2 linked regions of the Medicago truncatula genome follow. The protein of the gene in region 1 interacts with the protein of each later gene in a pairwise test. Links are inferred from orthologs where the notes say so. Each region holds a gene or a part of one and is shown on either strand. Other genes may lie near its edges.

The links.
Region 2: the proteins of nuclear cap-binding protein subunit 1 (region 1) and nuclear cap-binding protein subunit 2 interact in binary tests that used the Arabidopsis thaliana proteins (3 or more experiments, as listed by UniProt). The link is inferred for Medicago truncatula from reciprocal best matches to the Arabidopsis thaliana genes ABH1 and CBP20.

The regions. Positions count from the first base shown.
Region 1 is NC_053048.1:39,054,890-39,065,208, reverse strand, and holds the start of nuclear cap-binding protein subunit 1, read left to right. Parts: upstream 1-5,743; 5' UTR 5,744-5,917; coding exon 5,918-6,001; intron 6,002-6,098; coding exon 6,099-6,158; intron 6,159-7,037; coding exon 7,038-7,094; intron 7,095-8,145; coding exon 8,146-8,217; intron 8,218-10,300; coding exon 10,301-10,319. UniProt on the Arabidopsis thaliana protein: Component of the cap-binding complex (CBC), which binds cotranscriptionally to the 5'-cap of pre-mRNAs and is involved in various processes such as pre-mRNA splicing and RNA-mediated gene silencing (RNAi) by microRNAs (miRNAs).
Region 2 is NC_053043.1:44,905,841-44,916,888, forward strand, and holds the start of nuclear cap-binding protein subunit 2, read left to right. Parts: upstream 1-6,091; 5' UTR 6,092-6,235; coding exon 6,236-6,253; intron 6,254-6,341; coding exon 6,342-6,565; intron 6,566-8,147; coding exon 8,148-8,286; intron 8,287-9,005; coding exon 9,006-9,039; intron 9,040-9,334; coding exon 9,335-9,445; intron 9,446-10,142; coding exon 10,143-10,199; intron 10,200-10,322; coding exon 10,323-10,444; intron 10,445-10,703; coding exon 10,704-10,778; 3' UTR 10,779-11,048. Other genes in the region: protein NUCLEAR FUSION DEFECTIVE 6, mitochondrial, read right to left, coding at 3,650-3,672, 3,745-3,866, 4,051-4,199.

The sequences.
Region 1 (10,319 bases):
ACTTATGGAATAATTTCAAACCTCAAAACTATAAGTACTAGGAGTTTAATTAAGGGGTTTAAGAGTATTTAACATGTGTTGTGATGGATCTAATTTGGTTGGACGTGAATATATTTGTTGAATAATTTGAGATACATATATTATGTGAATATTGTATGATATAGAAATAATGTTGTTCATGATTGATGATTTTTATGTATATGTTGATGAATATGATTTAATGTTGATAGTAATGTAATATATTTGTATATGCATTATGTGAATTATATAAGATCTTTAAGTTGATGTTGATTATCATTTGATGTTGTTATATCTTGAGATGTTTACGTGTTGCCTATGTTGTTGTTGTTGGTTATGTGAAATATTTATACGCCTTATGTGGAAAATGTATGATGTTTAAATTGTTGATACTTTTCATTAATATTGTTATGTTGTGAATTGCTTGTGTTGTTTCTGTTGCTGTTGAATATTGATCAAGTTGCAGGTGGTGGTCTAAGTTGTAAAGTTGCAAGTTGTCGTTCCAAAGTATTGGAGTCTTAAGTTGTCGATGTTGTCTAAGTTGTAAGTTGTCGTTCCAAAGTATTGGAGTCTTAAGTTGTTGATGTTGTCCAGGTTGTAAGTTGTTGAGTCTATGCATATTTATTTAAGTTGAGGGCTTGATGCCCTGGAGCCTTTGCTCAACACGTTGGGGCTTGATGCCCTGGGAGTATATTAATGCTCAGATAAGTTGAGGGCTTGATGCCCTGGGAGCCTATTTACGCTCAATACGTTGGGGGCTTGATTCCCTGGATTGGTACCACATGCATGATTAAGAAGTTGAAGTTGCATTGTTGAGTCAAAGTCGTTGTTGATGAGTTGTCATCCATGAGTCGTTAAGTTGTTGAGTTGTCTTCTACCCATGTGTTGTTAATGAAGTGCTTATGAAGATTATACGATGTTATGAAGCTATATGATGTTGATTATGATGTTGTTATGTTATTATGATGTTGTTTATGATATTGATTATAATGTTATGATGTTGTTTACGATGTTGATTATATGATGCTATTATGATGGTATATGATGTTGATTATGATGTTGTTATGATGCTATATGATGTTGTTATGATATTGTTAAGCGATGATTTTTATGAAGTGATGATTATGTTGTTATGCGATGATTTTTATGATGTCATGTTATGTTGTTATAAGATGATCTTTATGATGCGTTGTTTATGTTGTTATAAGATGATCTTTATGATGTGTCGTTTATGTCGTTATGAGACGATATTTATGTTGTGTTGTTTATGTTGTTATATGATGAATGTATATGATGTGGTGAATATGATATTAATGAGGACTAGAAGTTGATTGAGCTATTAATGAAGTACTATATGAAGAATTATTATTATTAATTGATGATGTTTAAGTTGTTAAATGCTTTTGATGAATTATATGCTTATTATTATTGAATGTGAAATCTCACCCTTTCTGCTTGGAAATGTTGCCCACCATGGGTAACTTGCAGGTAACCAAGAATAGTTGATTTCGTGTGAGATTTCTCTCTCGTGTGTCTTAGGTGCTCTGATACGTAATGGGATGAGATTTTGTTGTTGCTTTCTATTCCTTACGTATTATTTTATGAATTATCATGAACATGTTGTTGGAAGAATTTTAAGAGATTTTATGTTGAGGCCCTTGTGCCAAAGTTGTTTACAAGTTGAATAATTTCCGCTGCGAAGTAATAAATATTATGACGTTGAATTTTGAAGGATAAATAGTTATTTTATTCCGTTTATGATTTTATGAAAAGAAGTGTGACACTCCGTTTATGTTGAAATACTCTGATTTATATGTGAAATTTTTAAGTTGGGAAAACAGGGTGTTACAAATTGCATTACATTTCTTCCTATTGATTCTTATTGATTGCACTTCCCTCTATTGACTCTTCTGAATGTTTGCATTGCACTTCTCCTTGTTAATTCTTCTGATTGATTGCACTTCTCCTTATTTATTTTTCTAATTGATTGCATTTGAATTCTCCTTGTTTTTTCTTCTGATTGATTGCACCTCTCCTTATTGATTCTTCTATTTGGTTGCTCCTCTCTCCAATGACATTACTTTTTCCCTTCAAAGACTATAATGAATTTGTGCTCGCCAATCACTTTCTTCTTGTGTTCCACGTCGTACCAATGAAGCTTCCATCTTTGACGCTACCAGAGTTTGTTGATAACTCTCTAATCCCAACCATCATGTCCAGCAAGTTTATAGTATTAACACATAGATCCTTCTCACATTTGACTCTTTGTGATGTTTTGATTACGAAATTGGACATTCTTATCACACCATCACTTGCATCTTATGGTATACAACATCTAATGAAATACTTTGAGTATCCTGTAGTTAATTTTGTTCAAATTTCAATTATGAAGACAATAATGAAACCATGTCATGTTTTCTAAGGATTTTAGAATTGATATTAGTTATAGTTTTCGTTATTGTTGTAGTTTTTGTGATGAAGAATATACATATTGACAAAGACATAAGTGTTAAAACTCCATTGTATTTTTTTTATGCTTAAATATGTATTTGATCCTTGCAATTAGGAGTCGTTTAAAAATTGGTCCCTGTAATCGCTAATCCTGGCAATTTACCCTTGCATTGTTTAATCATTGAAAATTTCGTCCCTCTCCCCACTTAATCACTGCCACGCCACATGAAATTCCAATTCTACCCCTGAGTTTCCAATTCTTTCTTCAATATCTTGTCCTCTTCTTAAGGGCAAAAATGGAATTTCATGTGTGGCAGTGATTAAGTTGGTCAAATGACGAAATTTTAAATGATTGCAAGACTAGTTTGCAAGGATTAGCGAATACAGGGACCAGTTTTTAAACGACCCCTAATTGCAAGGATCAAATACATATTTAAGCCTTTTTTTTATGAGACTATGATAGGGCTGAGAACGGGTCGGATTCGGTTCTAAAACATCCTTTACGAGTTTTACTTTACTCAATGCCTTATGAGTTTTATTAATTCATTATCTTTGAATTGATCTTTTTTTTGTTACTCAATTTTAATCTCAACTTTTCTAATAGTTCGATAATGTTTAATATCAGCTTTTTGAATAGTCTACTACTCATTGAGGAAAATTAAAGTTTGTGTGACATTTACAAATTCTTCTAAACTTTAATTTTTGAAATATGAGACTTGCTTTTCTGGTTTATTTTTAAAAACTGGTGTATGTTACACTTGTTAATGTCACAATGGTGTACTGGTTTTATGTTGCAATATTGACAAAACAAGCGATGTGAAAAAAACAATACGGCGGTAAAGTATCAGACCATGTGATTACGTTGTTGGCTTAAATCATCCATCAACATGTGAAAAAACAAGAAAAGAACACGATTAAGATTGAAAATCAATCTAATCGACAAAACAGACTCTCACAAGGGGCGATGAGTGAAACCGTAGGAGAGAAAAATCGCAAAAAATTATTATTATTTATCTTTATATATATACACTATTGATATAAAGAAAATATCATATTTTGACTCTTTTGAGCTGATTTTTTTCCTTTCAAAATTACCCTTAAGTTTCAAAACAACTAACACATATAATAAACAGATAAGGGTAAATTCAAATATTAAAATAAAAGTATAACAAACACGATATGAAAAATGTAACAAATTAGATGAGGATATCTATACTTACTTTTTCATTATCTCAATTATACCTTTAAACAACCCTTTCCATCATAACGATCGGTGTTGGTGTTATTAAAAAAAAAGAATTCAAATTATATTGTTTTGTTATATTGTTGCTGTCATTGAAATTGATAATCATGGTTAGTTTGATTTATTATAACTTGAAAGCAAAAAACATTTATATTTTTATTATTAATCAAAATTAAAATTTCATAAAAACAACCGTTCATAATTTTCAAACATTAGCGCAGTAAAATAGCGAGATTATTTTTTGAAACAATTATGAATAAATTTTCAAAATTAATTAAATTTTATAAAATAATAAAAAATGCTAAAAGAAAATTAAGTAATTATATATATACATTTAAATTCATCAACGCTACTTAATAAACAATATTAATACTTTTTGAAAAAAAACATAAATGAATAAATAACTGTATTATATTTTGGGACACGATAAATAAATATATGATATAAATACCATATGCGGTCCTTTAAGTTATATGTTCGTTGCAAGTTACTCCTTTAAGTTTTTTTTTGTTAGAAATTGGTCATTTAAGTCATAAAACATGTGCATCATCATCATATTTTTATCAAATTCGATTAAAAAGTGTTTATGTGGAGATTTAATTTAAGTTGGTATGTCCGAATTCACCGTTCTCAAAACTAGAGTTCATATGCGTACTATTCAATCTTGATTTGAAAAAAAATTGCTTGTTTACTGGATTTATAATACAGTTGATGGAATATTTATGTGTAAAACTAGATTTAAATACAAAAATAAGAAAAAAAAATGTGCATAAGTAATCATATTAAATGTCATAAATATCTTCGAACCTACCACCTAAATATTAAGTTGTTCATAAATTTTTTTTTAACGAAGTTGGTTGTTTTATAAAAAAAATGAAGTTGACCGTAAAAATGGGTAACAATGTATTATAGCTTAAAGAACCCACTTTTAACAAAGAAAAACTTAAAAAGCTAATTTATAACAAAAAAAGATTAAATGACCAACTTATTAGAGACATCAAACTTAAAAAACAATAAGAGGTATTTGACCAATTATATATAAATGACAAAACTACTCGTGCCTTAAAAATTATATTTAATTCCTTAAAAAATTAAATTAGTCAAATACCTCCGATTCTTCTTTAAGATTGACGTCGTTTTATAAAAAAAAAAATCGAGTTATTATGAATATTGATCTAGGTGACATATGTTTAATTAATGTTTTTCTTAAGTTGCGGTTTGATTTAATTTGATTTGTAAAATAAAAATCGTAAACCAAACCAAAACATGTTGTTGAATAAAAAAATGATTAAATACATTCTTATCAAATGTGGTTTTTTGCGATTTCGATTTATCTTAGTTTAGTTTGTAATTTTTCTATTTAAACGATTCAATTTTAAAACGCCGCTGGTTCTATTCTATTTGTTTCTAAATACATTCTTATCAAATGTGGTTTTTTTCATGCATTTTTTTAAACTACCAATTTGGTCCTCTTTTCAAGGTCATTATCAAATTAGTGATGACTCTAGTAATATTTTAAAACAATCTATATCTTTGTCAAAAGTTTTTCAATTAGATCATTGTCTCTATGTTTTTGTCACACGATGAATGATTTAATTGAGAAACTTTTAACAAATATACAAATTATTTTAAAATATTGTCAAAAGTTTCACGATTAATTTTTTTTCTTCACATAACAAGAGACTTACTTGAAAAACTTTCGACAAAGACTAAATATATAGAATCTAATTTTTTCTTATTTTTGATATTCGAATAAATACACATTTTAAATTTACTTCTTATTATCAATTTATACTAAATGTTTAGTAAAAAAAATAATACTAAATAAATAGTGCATTTAAGCGATTCTGTCAATCTCGACAAGTGACCAAATTGAAACATTAACGGAGTCAAAAATTAATTTGACAATGATCTATAAAGACATATACCAATTTGATAGTTTACTCATTTATTATTATTATTTTTTTTTTGTAAGGAATATAAAATATTTTGAATGAAATGAAAATCTGAATTGAATGACTACAAAATCTATCTAAAAGTGAAAGAGGACACTGAACAGTACCGGCACACTACACCAGCGTTGGTTTAGTTTAGGTAATTTGTTAGGGTTCAGCCGTTGAAGGTGAAATAGGGTTTTCGATCTATATATAAAACCCTACAAACGACTCCTTCACTCTGCAAACACCTTCTTCTTCTTCGTCAACGATGAATGGTTGGAGAAGCCTCATTCTACGGATCGGTGATAAGAGTCCCGAATATGGAACTTCCTCCGACTTCAAAGATCACATTGTTCGCTTTCTTCTTCTCTCTTTCGCCTTTTCCGCTCAACTTATTCTTCAATTCGATTATTTGATTCTCCTAACGCGTTTTTTTCATAATTTTTCAGGAAACCTGTTTTGGTGTCCTTCGTCGTGAGCTCGACAACTCTCAAACTGAGATTTTGGAGGTAAGTACTCCATTTCTGATGCTTATTGTTGCTTCAACAATTCAAACGTTTTTAATTTGCCTCTTCTTTTTATAAGTGTATCACAATTTTTGACTGCTTCAAATAAGCGCTTCCTTGATAATTGATTTTGTCATCTACTTACAACTAGCTTTGATTTGTGTTTTATAAGTGTGTCACAATTTTTGACAAGAATTGATTCTGAGTGAATTGATTCTTGCTAAAGTTGCATGTAAAGTGATTTGTGTTTTAATACATTTATGTAAAAGTGAGTTGAATTATAAATTTGTGTGTTAGAATCAAGCTAAACATAATTTTAGAGTTAGAATTGCTTCTGGCACTTTGAAAAATACTTCCAAGGCATCTAAATTAAATGTGAAACCAAACACCCTTGATCCATTTTCTCTGTTGGGGAAAATACAATCACGAGTTGGTGCATGTTTGGATTCACAAGTGAGTTTGGCAGAATCATGACAAGCTACAGTGTTTTTGCAAAAGCTACAGTTTTCAAGCTTCAACAAAGTGGCCGTGCCACCTTGATTTGGTCGATCCACCGTTATTCCAAACATGCAATGAACATACTTATTTGCTTCTGAAATATGTATGAACATTGAAGCTCGATTAAAATGTAGAACTATAATATGTGGCAGGTTGTATAAGGACTTTCTAGTTGTCTTTCTGTATTTTTCTCTATTTTCAAATTAAAGTATTCATTATTTTTTATTTTGCTATCATATGTTCAGTGTGCGATGCATTCCATATTTTGACGGTGTCTAGTGTGCCTTATAAATTTTTATCTATCGTCTTTTTTTTTTTCTTCGTCACGACATGACACTTCAATGTTTGGTATCATGACATGTTTACTTTATTGTCTTCATGCAGTTCCTTCTTACATGTGCTGAGCAATTGCCTCACAAGATTCCTTTCTATGGAACCCTGGTAGAGATTTACTTCTCTCTTTATCTCTCTTGAACTGCAAATGACCTGCATTATTCACTTCACTGTATGTTCTAATATTTTTTCTGAATTAGGACATGTATGTAAGCGTTCATGCATGTTTCATAGTAGGACATGTATGTAAGTGTTCATGTATGTTTCTTAGATACAAGATGCTCTTATTATTTATTATTAGTGGGTATGTGTGTTTGTGTGTGCGTGTGTGTGTTTTCGAGGTTGATTTATATGTGTGAACATACTGTACTAATTTGATTAATCAGTATGAGAAATTGGTCACCACTAAGTTATGACAGTGGAAGTCTATCTAGTTATTTTGGGGATGATTTACATCAGAAATTGTCGTTATGGTATATGGTAGTTTATCTGATCAACCAAATGTGCTAACTTTCCCACCTTTTCCATGTACTAATTAATTTTCAATTGCAAACCTAATCAATTTTATATTGCACAAGTTTGTTACTTGGCTGCTCTGCGAATGTCAATTGTCCTTTAAAATTGAAACAAACATAGGAATCACTGCTATAGCTTATATATATTTATATGGTTAAATAAATTTATTTAAAGATCCATTGTTCATATTTTCTATTATTTTATCACTTAAGACCACATTTTAGTTAAATTTTATTATGTTCCCTGCGTCATGATGGATTTGTTTCACAAAATATGTGTATAATATCTAATGGACGTGCCTTTCAAAGTTGGAGTGCATATAACCTGCAGGTTTTTGAAAAACAAAAAGCTTTTAAAATTTTATAATGACGTGATATAGTAGAAGAAGCAACATAGTTTGTCACATTTTTTCGCTTTTCGAGTTATATTCTACCATTATTTGATGCATTTTGCAACAAATGCCAAATATTTCTATCGGTTTACTGTAATTATCCTGTTTCCAATTCTGTATCTTCTATTTTTTTCACATCTACTTACCATCCCAATTATGTATTATGAATTTCCTTGTACATCTCGAGTAGTTTCCAAATTCAAAATTTAGTTTCTGAGCTTCCTACGTTTCCTACTTATACATTTTATTCAGATTGGCCTGATAAACTTGGAAAATGAGGACTTTGTGAAAAGACTAGTGGAGCAAACTCGATCTAAATTTCAGGTTAGTGATTAAGCCACTGAGGCTACTATAATTCGTTTAACATTAGTTAATAATTCTTAACCTTAGGTTGCATATTAGAATTTGAAATTTAAATGTAGTTTTTTTTTCCTTCAGTTTTGACAACTATGTAGACTGCTTGCCAAATGGATTGTTTAGTATTTGATTCGGAAAGCTACTTTTATTGATTTTTTTTAAGGTTTCATATTTGTTAATGTTTGATCAAGTTAGGAGCAGAGGTTGTCACCATTTAATCCAAAACGGCCAACGTTGGTCGCAGGTGTATGACATGGCAGGTTTGATACTATATGCTATAAAAATATTTAGGACTAGGAGTGGGTATGATGGGTTGTCCATTGAGGTGCCATACCACCTGCCACAAGCGAAGTTGGAATCTCATTTTCGCTCCTTTGCATTCAACGGGCGTGCAACTTTTGGAGTGTTTGTGTTGTGACCATGTCTGTGATACAAAAACCATTTACTTCACCCAAAACACTCATTGCCTATTTCACATGCTAAGGTTGTCTTGACTAAGTGAAGTAGGTTCCCTACTCTCTCAAACTGCACTTGAATAGCCACAAAGCTCATCAAAATCATGTTTAGTCATCATACCATCCAAATTATTAACGAAATAAAGTTTATTAGTTTTCATAGAATTTGTAGTTAGGCCTAACACAAACCCACAAAACCTTGTGAGGTGAGGACTGCCCCCACTTATAAACACTTGTGCATGCCATCACTTATCCGATGTGGGACCCATATGCCCAACACTATTGGGCTTGGTGCGTGGATATATATGGTGGGTGACCCGATAGCGAAAACCTGATAGAAGGTGACCCGATAGGTCTTGGAGGAGACTTGGATACCATCTTAGAATTTTTGGTTGGGCCTACACAACCCCACAAATCCGGCTTGTGAGGTGAGGACCGCCCCCACTTATAAACACTTGTTCAGGCCATACTCTTATCCGATGTGAGACTCTTTAACAAGTTTCATGTGATATTGTCATTAGTAATTTCATATTTTAACTATGGCCACTGCATTTGCACTTCAATTCCTGGAAGGTGGTAAATAATGGGAGACTGGTGTAGTGATGTCTGGTGTAGTGGTGTCAGGAATCATCACGTATTAAGGGCACAACTTTAAGCTGTTGAATGTTCTTCAAATTTATTTTCTTAAATATGAGACTATGGACCATTCAACTAAGAAATAGGAGCATATAGCTCAAACTAACTAATGTTACTAATAGCCACAAAAAACAATACAAAGACGAGGATCCAGTTAGACAAAATTAAAGGCCATATAATGAGTTAATTTTTGCATGAAGGAGTATTACATTTTTCTTGCAGTGAACTGAATGTTTTAATTGTGACAATCAATTACTACCATGTTTATTTTCATTAATTTTTTATAATACGAAATTGACATCTTTTCTTCGCTTCATCCAAAAATACTCCGGTGCATTTTGGCCTGCCACCATTGGCTTGATTGACAATTCTGATTATTTTTTATTTTGTGGATTATTGGCAACTCTGATTTAGTCATTAATGATATGAAATTAGTGGGAGTTTTGCTTATGGTGATTCACTTTTCAAAGGTGTTTTAGTCTTTGACAAGAATACTGTAATAAATGCATGCGCGACCTTGTGACCAATATGCAACTAGACACCAACATTACCTCAGTTGACATGTTATCACATAACACACCTTTGTTTTCATCTCCATTGCGGTATGAGCTGTGATTAACATTGGCATTTTGATCCTTTTGTAATCAATGAAATCAGATTGATATGTTTAATTGGTGGTGAACCATATCTTTTACAAGTTTTTATGTGATGGTTTGTTTGATTTGATGGAACAATTTGACTTTCCTATTTAATGGTTCTTACCAATGGTTTTTAAATACATACCCTATCAATTTTGTATTTGTTCTTTCGCTCAAGATAAATGTCTATGTATACTGCTTTACTTTTGTTTTAATAATTGAATATAATAAGATATTTGAGTTTTACTTTGACATGTTAATGTCTCTGCCAAATCTCTTCTATGTTTCTCAGTTGTTGTTGTTGTTTGATTCTTAATTTAGGATGCTCTAGATACTGGAA
Region 2 (11,048 bases), on another chromosome or scaffold:
TATAATCTACACATGACTAAGTCTTTGAAACAAAAGAGCAAAGAATATCCAACACATATTTAGTGGAACCTACTCTAAAAAATAAGTTTCCATCATTAATATATATATATTAGAAATTGGATTTGACTCCAATTAATTACCTTTATATTAATTTTTTAATATAATTTTTAATTAGGGGCATGAAAATCATAATATTGTTTATATTCATGAAAAATTTATCGAAAGAAAATGTATACATCTATATTTGATTTTTCATACCTCTTGATCATTGAAAATGTAATTAATACACCCGTTGACGTCGTTACGACTGTCTTGTGTGGAGAAGTGATGTGTCTCGTGTGAAGAAGGAGGTCATCCATACTATTACTACTCTTGTCCAAACACGCTTAACTGCAGTGTTTTGATGGGATCTGATGTATTAGTATTGGATACGATCACCTTACAATTTCATGACCTTAGTTTTTGATGGAATCTAATGGATTAGTGCTGGATATCTCACACAAACATGGACTTTCAGTGACATTAGTGTTGATATCATCAACTTGCCAACATAAATGGAACTATCATATCTAGCCATATTGCAGTCGACTTCTTAATTATTACCTTTCCCTGATTGCACGTTGGTGGTGCATCTTTCATGATCACCAATCCATAATTGGGTGTTGGTGGCACAACTTCTTTCAATGATGAATAATCCTTCAGATCACACTCCCATGTTTGGGTGGCGCATTGAAAACCATTCTCCTTCTGCCCATTATGAAGCAGAGAAACCTAAGTAGAAGCTTTCATACTCTTTCATAAAAGTTCTTATTGCCATTAAATTGACCTCCAAACTTGGTTCAACCAGCTGTCGCTGAGGAAAATTGAAATTGTATGCCCTTTAAATTATAAAACTCTATTATTTAACTTATGGTTTTCCTCTTTTTATTTTTCAAAACTTGCTATCATATTCATATATAACTCCTGTAAAAAAAAAAAAAAAAAAAAAATTTCAGTGAACAACATAAGGTCTTGTTAACAACATGATCCCTAAAGAGTGTTCGGGACACTCGTTAACATTTTTCAACATAATATTATCTTTTGTTGACCCTTGCCCATCCATTCCTAAGTTAGTTTGGACTCGTTTGTAATCCTTATCATTCATTGATGTTAAACTGGTTGGCTTGAAAAAGTCGTTTACCTTGTTTGAATCATTAAGTTGGAATTTTGATGCGGTTCAATTTAAAATTGAAAACATAATAGATCTAGACTAATTTTAGTCAATCGTTGTCGTAGTTATATTTTAAACTCGTAGACTAGTATGTGTGAGTGTGTGTGTGTGTGTGTATATATATATTGGTTTAATTTATTATTGAAACCATAATAGATTTGAGAAAATAGGCAACTTGGTCATTGATTTTGTTCTCTAAATTTTAGAATAGAAAAATAGACCGTTAATTAGTTGTGTAAGTTTCTTCCCTCCATCAACTTTAGACGCTGCTCTTGATGACGTGCATGCTAAATATTGCACTACACTAGATTACAACACTATCGTTTAACTCCGTGCGTAATCAAACATAACATTTGAAATAAACGGATGGATGAAACTAGTTGATGCAGAAGCAGAACTAATTTACAGACAGATTGTGTTTTTTCAATAAAAACCTTGAACCGTGATTACAAATTTAGAGACTTAGTTGCCGATTCACTAGAATATATTTATACTTAATTTAAGTCATTTTTGCAGTCATTTTATATTATTATGTTTGAGGAACTTCAACTAGTTCAATACTTATTTTGTTGGGAAGATTGAGATGCCATGGAAACCATTTTCAAATAAAGATGGCGGATTGAAAATAGACTATTAGTATCAAACAAAGGTGGACAGCTTTTTGGAATTTTAAGTGAAAACACAAAACCGTAATAACTTTAAAAAGAAGGGAGGCAAGGCAAAACATATAATAGTTCAAATATCCAATTATTCAATTCAAAGCTCGTATTTTATTAAGTATTATTATCAATCCAACTTTGATAGCCGCGAAGTAAATTTTGAGAGCATAATCTGAATAGCATTCTGTAGTTATCACATCATGAACCCTCCTCTCCTTCTGAAAGTTAAAAAGACGAGGCAAATGAGAAAATTGGAAAACTAATGCCCAAAAAGAGAAATTTTATCACTAAACCAGACATAAAACATCCCTAGCCGATTAAATAAGAAATTTCAAAAGAACATGGACAAAAAAGACAACTTATCCAACACTCTGCGAAACAATTTCAGCTTATTGACTTTAGACACTAATAATTATGGTGGAAAGTAGGCTTTTATAAATCTAGAAAAGAAACAACAGAGTTACAAGTGGTCTAGCTTTTCAAAAGTTCCTTTCAGCCTTTAGGACTCAATTTAACCCACCAATGGCTCAGACAAGACACTCTCATGAAGTAGATAGTACATAAAAGATTGCTTCGATCTTCAGAACACTTATCACACATCATCATTGCAATCTGATTAAACAAAAGAGATCAGTATGTACCTTTATTATTAATTTATCCTACAAATTGAATCAGTTATGGATTTAAAGACAGGATTTAAGAAGTTAAGTCACACAAAATAGATGCATATACTCTTTCAAATAATCCAACATAACAGACACAGGAAATAAAATGAATTCAAGAGAAACTCTAACAAGAATGCCGGGTATTTGTTGAAGTTATAGTTTTAAGAAAAAGAAGGAGAAGAATAAGAAATAAAAGTAGGATTTTGAATATGACAAAAAATCCTACTATCATATCCAAAGTCCGGACAATTGTACCCAAGATGTATAAAATTTTGAACAATAAGATTGATAAAAACAGAGAAATATTTATTTCCTAAAACACAAAGTAAACTGAGAATCCAGCTTGATGATATTCTCACTAATCCAAGAGCAGATAAATTTGCTCTAAATTTATACAATAAATAGTGATATATATTATCTAGCATTTTTTCTTTATCAGATTTTGTTTTTGTTTAAAGTCCAACATCATAAGAGGTCCACGTCATCCCAACCTTGCTTCTTGATCTTCAAATAGTCTCTTTGCCTACATACAAAAGGAGCATGAATGGCTTCACTAAAGATTTAGTTGCTTGAGAGCAGGGAAAGCAGAAGACACAGGGAATAACTTAATCCATTAATCTTTGCTACAAGATTAATAATTATAGAAAGATACAGGTATATGAACCCCCTTTTTCCCAAAGATATGAATAATTATATTTCATGTATATATTTTGAACATGTTTCCTATTAACAATAGCAAGACTCCATTAAGTTTAACTCGATAATTCAAAAAATACACCACCTTACCCGAAAATTAAATTGAAGAAAGAACACAAGGAATCCTAGAGATGTTTACCTACCTAATTCAAAAGTAAAACCTATCCGTCAAGTAAAACCTAACTCAAATAGGTCTCTTGACGTTTTAATATTTCAAAAAGCTCCATGACTCTATCAAATTTTTCTCATATTACTAGTCCTTGCGACAACACGCTAAGGAACAAATTGATAGTAAGTAGTTAAATATAGGGACACAATTGATATTAAGCTGTTAAAATATATGGAACTTGTTAGTACGTTGTGAAAATATATGAATCTAACCAGGGACCAAATTGACGGTTTAACAGAGCTGGAGAATCTCAGGGATCTAATTGAGTGCACCCTACAAAGTCATGGACTAATTTAGCGGTTTACTCGATGATAATTGCATTAAAGTGGTAGTGTCAGACAATACCTTCAGGAAGCCATGCGTAGCTGCGTTGAGAAACAACTAACTTCGAAGTCATCAACGCCGAAGCAGTTGCCGAATGAAACGGCAACATAGATTCCATACAGAAGCTCAATTCAACAGGACACCTTCACACACAAACAATTCCACAAAAAATAAAAATAAAATCAAAATCAAAATCACTCATTTTCAGCTCATTAAATTAACCACATTAAAATTGAATTAACACTAAATTGAGCACTATAAGCATGTAAAAAACAACGATTAATTCGTAAAAATGCTACAAAAGGAGCAATAATAGTAGTGAATTACCTGAATGCGGATTGGGATATAGGTTTGTTCGAGGCGATTCGGAAAGGAGTGCGAGCTGATTTAGCTTCTGAAGCTAGACGGAAGGCGGAGCGGGAGATGGAGGAAGATCGAAAAATCGATCTCGCGGCGGTTCCGGCGACGGAGGCCATTTTCGTTATCGGAAAGTTTTTAGGGTTTGCGTAGGTTCTGCACAGGCAACGGTTTAGGATTCTACGAAACTTTGTAAAACCCTGCTTCAGTTGATGGACTCAAAAGTGAAAAATGGGCCTAAAAAAGTTTGGGGCTTAAACTTTGGTAGAATTGTTCTTTGAATTCTGCTCTTCACACAGCACTTTTCGCTCGCGCCATGCAATCATTCCAAAAATACCCCTTTGATAGTTAACTCACGTTAGGGAAAATGTGAATTTTCTTATTCATTTGGCAGCTAGTACTGCTTTATGTGTAATTGCTATATATGCTATACCATGCAGCAAGCAACCTTGTTCTATCCACTAGTTCATATTAGAGAATTTTATCTAGTATAAACACCTGTGATTATACCATGCAGCAAGCAACTCTCGGCTACTAATAGTGGTCGCCACCTAATCATAGGCTAATATAGCCATCTTTACATGTGTTGTTTGTCCAAAACTCCACCTCATCCATCTTCTTTTTCATTGAATGCAACTTGGCCAACTTTTGATTTTGGATTGAAATGCATTTTGGCTATGCAGCAATAAAAACGCGACTGTCCTTTTAGAATTATGAACTAGCGTGAGTTAACTCAAGCAGCGTTACTTAATTAGCGCATAGTTTTACATTTGCGTTATGGCTTAAATGCTCTTTTGGTCCCTTAACTATTTAATTGGTATCATTTTGGTCCCTTAACTAAAAAAAAGATTGTTTGAGGATTTTAAGTTTTTTTTTAGTCTCGTTTTGGTCCCTTCTGTTAGGTTTCCGTTAGGGTTTTAAAAAAAAAGTTAACTCCTGGACACGTGTCACCTTGTCATTGGCTCTGAGATTTTTTTTTTGTAAAAAAAAATTCTCAGAGCCAATGACAAGGTGACACGTGTCCACACTTAACGTTTTTTATTAAAACTAACGGAAACCTAACAGAAGGGACCAAAACGAGACTAAAAAAAAACTTAAAATCCTCAAACAATTTTTTTTTAGTTAAGGGACCAAAGCGATACCAATTAAATAGTTAAAGGACCAAAAGAGCATTTAAGCCTTTGCGTTATTTAACTAGTGCAAGGGTAAATTTGGAACGGCTGTAGGGCGTGAGTAAAATGTGCAGGGTGGAGAGCATAATTTTTGCTCTTCTCCCACCCATCTGTTTTTACTCATTCCTGCCCTACGTTAGTTAATTCACGTTGAAAAAATACAACTGCGTAAGTTAACTCACACTCGACTACTTTGATGGGGATGAATAAATACAGATGGAAGAAAAGCAATTATCAAAACTTTGACCTCTACAAAATAAAATGAGAGTTGTTTTTATCCTTAGTTGTTCAAACTTTTCCACACATCATATATTTATATTTATTTTTCAAACTAAGCCAAGATCATTGTTCAATTGTGGCTAAACTTTTAATCCAAAACTTATATTTTAAAATACTCAAATTTAAGTTTTTTGAAACATGTCTTTTGAGAATACTCAAATTTTGATGGAGCATATTTCTTTTCAAATGAGATGTGTGTTTCCTTTTTTGTTTTTTAAATCATTTGTTCTGGGAACAAGTTTTCAGTTCAGTATTTAAACTATCATTTTTTCTTTAAATTGTTTTTAATCAATTAATTAAATCTCTACTCTATAGATTCTTAAAATTTAAAATAATAGACGAGATAAAGGGTATTTTAGAGTTCCCGTGAGTATAACTCAGTTGGCAGGGACATGCATAATTATATGCAGGGAATGAGATTCGAACCCCAGACACCGCACTTATTCACCTTGAAAAAAAGTGAATTCTACTTGACAAAAAAAAAAAAAAAGGGTATTTTAGATATTTAAATGATTTTGTGGGGGGTAGGAAGCATAGTAGAGGGGTATAATAGAGAACTTTCTTCGTAAAACTAGACTCACATTTCGGGTCAAAACGATCCACGTGAAGAAAGAGTTCATCTTCTCGAACTTCACTGCCCTAATCGCAACATTTCCTCTTCATTTTACATGAATTTCCACTCATAACATTCTCGCTCAGTAACAATGGCGTTGTTATTCAAGGTACACTATTCAACTCTATTAGGTTTTCGCTATTTGATTCAATTATTTGATTTTGATTTCAATTTTTTCTTCTTTGCAAATGTTTTAGGATCCGGCGAAGATCTCGGCATACAGAGATAGAAGATTCCCTGGAAATCAAGAAGAATTTGAGCATGCGCTTAAAACTTCAACCACCGTTTACGTTGGGAACATGTCGTTTTACACTACGGAAGAGCAAATTTACGAGCTTTTTACACGAGCTGGTGAAATTAAGAAGATTATCATGGGTTTGGATAAGAACACCAAAACTCCATGTGGCTTTTGCTTCGTTTTGTAAGTTACAATTTCTGTTCAAACTTTACAAATACTAATGTAGTTATTTTAATTTCTAGGTATTAGCCTAGGCCCTTTTTGGATAAACAACTTAATTTATAGCATAAGCGCTTAGGCCCTGTTTGGCGAAGAAATAGCAAATAGCTGATAAATTAGCTTTTAGCGGACGAACTTATAGAGATAATTTAGCTGATTGAACTTGCACTGTTTGGTAAAATTAATGTTTGAACTAACTTAAAAATATGAACTGACTTAAAGGTGATATATTTATAAATATGAAATGACATAAAAGTGATATATTTAATGAATATTTAAATTTTTTCAATTAAGATTACAAGGATGAAATTGAGATAAACAATGAAAGGTATAATATACTTGGATTAGCTTGTCATTTTTTTTTGAAGAAGACTTGGATTAGCTTATCATAAAACGCTATAAGCTAGTAAAATTAAGCTATAAGCTTGTGAGAAAGTGACAGTTACCAAACAGGTCTTTTTCATCCAATTAAGCTTATAAGACATAAGCTATTAAGCTCAAAATTATGTATTACTACCAAACAAACCCTAATTATGAAATGGCACATGTTTAATTAATATTTATTTTGTTTCAAGTAAATGACGGGTAAAAGTGAGAGTAAATGATAAGCTTTAAGCTATAAGCTCTTGAGAAAAAAATGTAAGCAAATGGTTCTTTCTTAACCATATGACCTTATAAGCTGTAAGCTCAAAATTTGGCATTGGCAAACAGAGCCTTATTCTAAGCTATTTCCTTAAATAAGCTAAAATAAGTCAGGCTGTTTTCCTGGAGAGCTTATGGAAATAAGTTGAAAACAGATTATTAACATGTCATAAGCTGGTTTAATAAGTTCTCCCAAACATTTTCACAAGTGATGATGCTAGTTGATAAAGCTCAAATAAACAAATCCAAACAGACCATTAATTTATACAAAAATGATAGTATCATACCTTGCATAGAATGTGAGTGAAACGGAGAGTGATAGAGTGATTGTGTTTAGTTATACTCCCTCCATTTCAAAATGAGTGTCGTTTTAGCCAAAAAAAATTGTTTCAAAATGAATGTCGTTTTCAACTTTCAATGAACAATTGATTTTTCTTTTCCATCTTTGCCCCTCATTAAAATAAGTACTTTAAGAAGTTAGTAACATGTGCTGGTGTCAACTTCTTTTGGGAAAAGTGAAATACATATGGGAAAAGTGCTAAACACCCATTTTAATTGGCTTAATGATACATCTTCCATTGAAAACGTGAAATACATATGGAAAATAGTAAGGCTATTTTAGTAAAATTGCTATGACATTTGACCACTTTATTCCTTTCCTTAATCTGTGTGCAATTGGCTAAAACGATACTCATTTTGAAATGGAGGGAGTAGAAAAACGTGTGAGAAGAAAGGAACTATAGATTGTATCTATTTGAATTGAATAGTGTAGTTGGTGATAATGCATTGTTAATTTATTGGCTATTGAATAAATAACGTAGTACTGATTGATGGTTTTGGGTATGTATTTAACTGAGTACCGATTGATGATTTTGGGTATGTATTTAATTGTTATTGTTACTAGATATTACTCTCGTGAAGATACTGAGGATGCTTGCAAATATATAAGTGGGACTATACTGGATGATCGCCCTATTCGTGTTGATTTTGACTGGGGATTCCAGGATGGAAGACAGTGGGGTCGCGGTCGTAGTGGCGGCCAGGTGAACAACTTTAGTGCATCTAAGTGTGTATATTTTAAATTAGTAGTCGAAGCCCATGTTTACCTGGACAATTTGATTATTTTTTGTTGTATTTTTACAAATTTTTGTTTTCAGCATTTACACCATCAGAAAAGAGAATAACTTAATGCTTCACAAATTTTTTGCTTAGAGTGAATATTTTAAACTAGTTGTCGAGTCTATAGTTTACCTAGACAATTTGGTTATTTTTAGTTGCATTTTACAAATTACTGTTTTCACTTTTCAGCATTTACACCATTAGAAAACAGAATTAACACAATGGTTACAACAAACTACAACCAAACCTTATCCTATTAAGTAGGGTTGGCTACATGGATCAAATAACACCATAATGTTATACATTCTATTTCAACTCATTATATTCTGACGTAATGTTCTGTCACATTTCAGTGCTTTACATAAACAATGTTATTTTCTTCTTATCACAATGACTCATCCTAATTTTTAAAATATCAATTATCTTGGACTCTTGCTTGAAGAGTTGTTTTTTCATTTTCTTTTCAACATACAAATTTTATATATTCTACAATAACCGTGTAGTATCCCATAGTTTTTAAGATTTATCAGCTTCCATATCCCAATGTTGTATTGTGTTATATGTTTTCCAGTTCTTATGGCTTTGTTTTCTAAGGTTGCTTTAGTTCTTGGCTGATATTTTCCGGTGCTGTTAATTTTTGCAGGTGCGTGATGAATATCGCACTGATTATGATCCAGATATCCTTTTTACTGTTTTTCATAAATTTATCTGTTATTGCCTTCATTTGTGATTCTTATTATTTTAGAATGAACTTCACATTTGATCAAGGACATCCCTACATGTTCAAACAAATAAATTTATTAGATCCACTATGATTTTACCTGGTCTAGTTGAAATTGAATAATGTATATTCCCATACCTTCACTTGATCTTGAACAAGAAATTTGACATCAAAATTACTTCAGAAAATACTCGCTTGCACTAGTATCTGTATTTCTACTAGTCTCCTTTTGTTTCCTTAATTCTACATACGTAGGGGTGGATATGGAAAGTTGGTTCAGAAAGAGTTAGAAGTACAAAGGCATCTTGTAGACTACGGCACTGGTTCTTTGGGATCTTTTCCGCCAGTTATTCCATCTTCGTGTAAGTTACTGTTTTATTTTATATGGATCTTCAGCTGCTCGTAGCAACCCTGGCTCAACATTTTACTTGTTTTTGATAACAAAATTTGATCAATGTATTTTTATTTTATTACTTTTTTAGTTTTCAGATTTGCAAATTATGTGGCTACTTATTAACCTACTTGATTTTTATTGAATGATAAGTAACAACACTGACTTGAAAGGACATCGAATTATGGACTACTCTCATTGCTTCATTAGCCCATACTTCTGTTTACATTGTTAGTTGAGCATAGCACTGTCTCTGTGTAAATATGCAATACACGAGGCAGCCTCCAACGATGTGCACTCTTTCAGTTAGCCTGTCCTCTCCTGCATCCTATTTATTGTGCAGTATGAATAATAATGCAAAGTGATGCCTTCAATAGCAAATACCGCCATAGCGTTTAGGGTTTAAATATATTTTCCTAATGGTTAAAATTCAAAGACAGTTTCTATCACTTAAATATTCTTAGACTTTATTATAATCTCCATACTGTATGCTAGGCTGAAGTATCCACATCTGTTGGTCTTATGAACTACGCACCAGCCTCTCATTGTTTTTTTTTTTGTTTGCCTTTTTTCAACTATCTAACATCCTGTTACATTTTATAATTTGTGGTAGTTCTCTATCATTTATTCTCTGCAAATTTAACGGTTCAGCAATTTTAATCTTGCAGATGGTAGACATGGTGGTGGCCATGGTCACGGTGGTTCCTATAGGCATGGCAGAGGAGGTAGTTTCATCTCAAAGCAATTTCTTTTGTCCATCAACTTTTAAGAAGCACTTTGGATTACTGTTATTATTTGCCTTTGAAATTACAAATGATTTAATTAAAATTGTCTCTTTGGCATTATAGATTATCAAAGGAAGAGATACAGAGACGATGACCGCTACACACATGAGCCCTCAAAAAGAACATCAGATCATGAATCTCGAAGGAACTCTGACCATAAGAACTCTGACCATGAATCTAGACCAGTGAGCTCTACAAATCTTGATGATGCTTTTGTCTAACTGTTCAATTATATATAATAGTTCCAGTTGCCATACCAAATAGTATGACATAGCATGTGGTGTGGAACTTGTTTCGTTAACCAAAAGCTTATGCTTCTATTTGTATTGTCATGCCTAAAATTTCTATCACTGCTAATATTAGTCGATATTCTTGTTACAAAAATGTCATTTTTCCTCCTTGCTGATCCAAGTATTATTTGTCTTAATTTGATCTGGTTGCCAGGAAAAAAATCCACGGTTTCGGGAGAGTGGTGATTCTGATGATGAGGAGGAAGATGATCGTAAAAGACGGGGTTAACCAGAATGTCATACTCAATCAAGCTGATATGCATTGAAAGTTTTTCTTCTGGCATGATGATAAGTGGCAAATTGTTGTACATCATTGCAAATTGCAAAAAAGTTACTGTTAGCTTAACCTTATGATATTCTTGGCTACATCTGCTGCATGTGGCAGTGCTAAATTGTGTCTTGTAGCAATAGTTTTCTTATGCCTTGTTTTTTCTCATAATTAGAATTAGTTAACTTTCCGGATCTGTATGCACAAGGCATCAGCTTATTAGGTAAATGA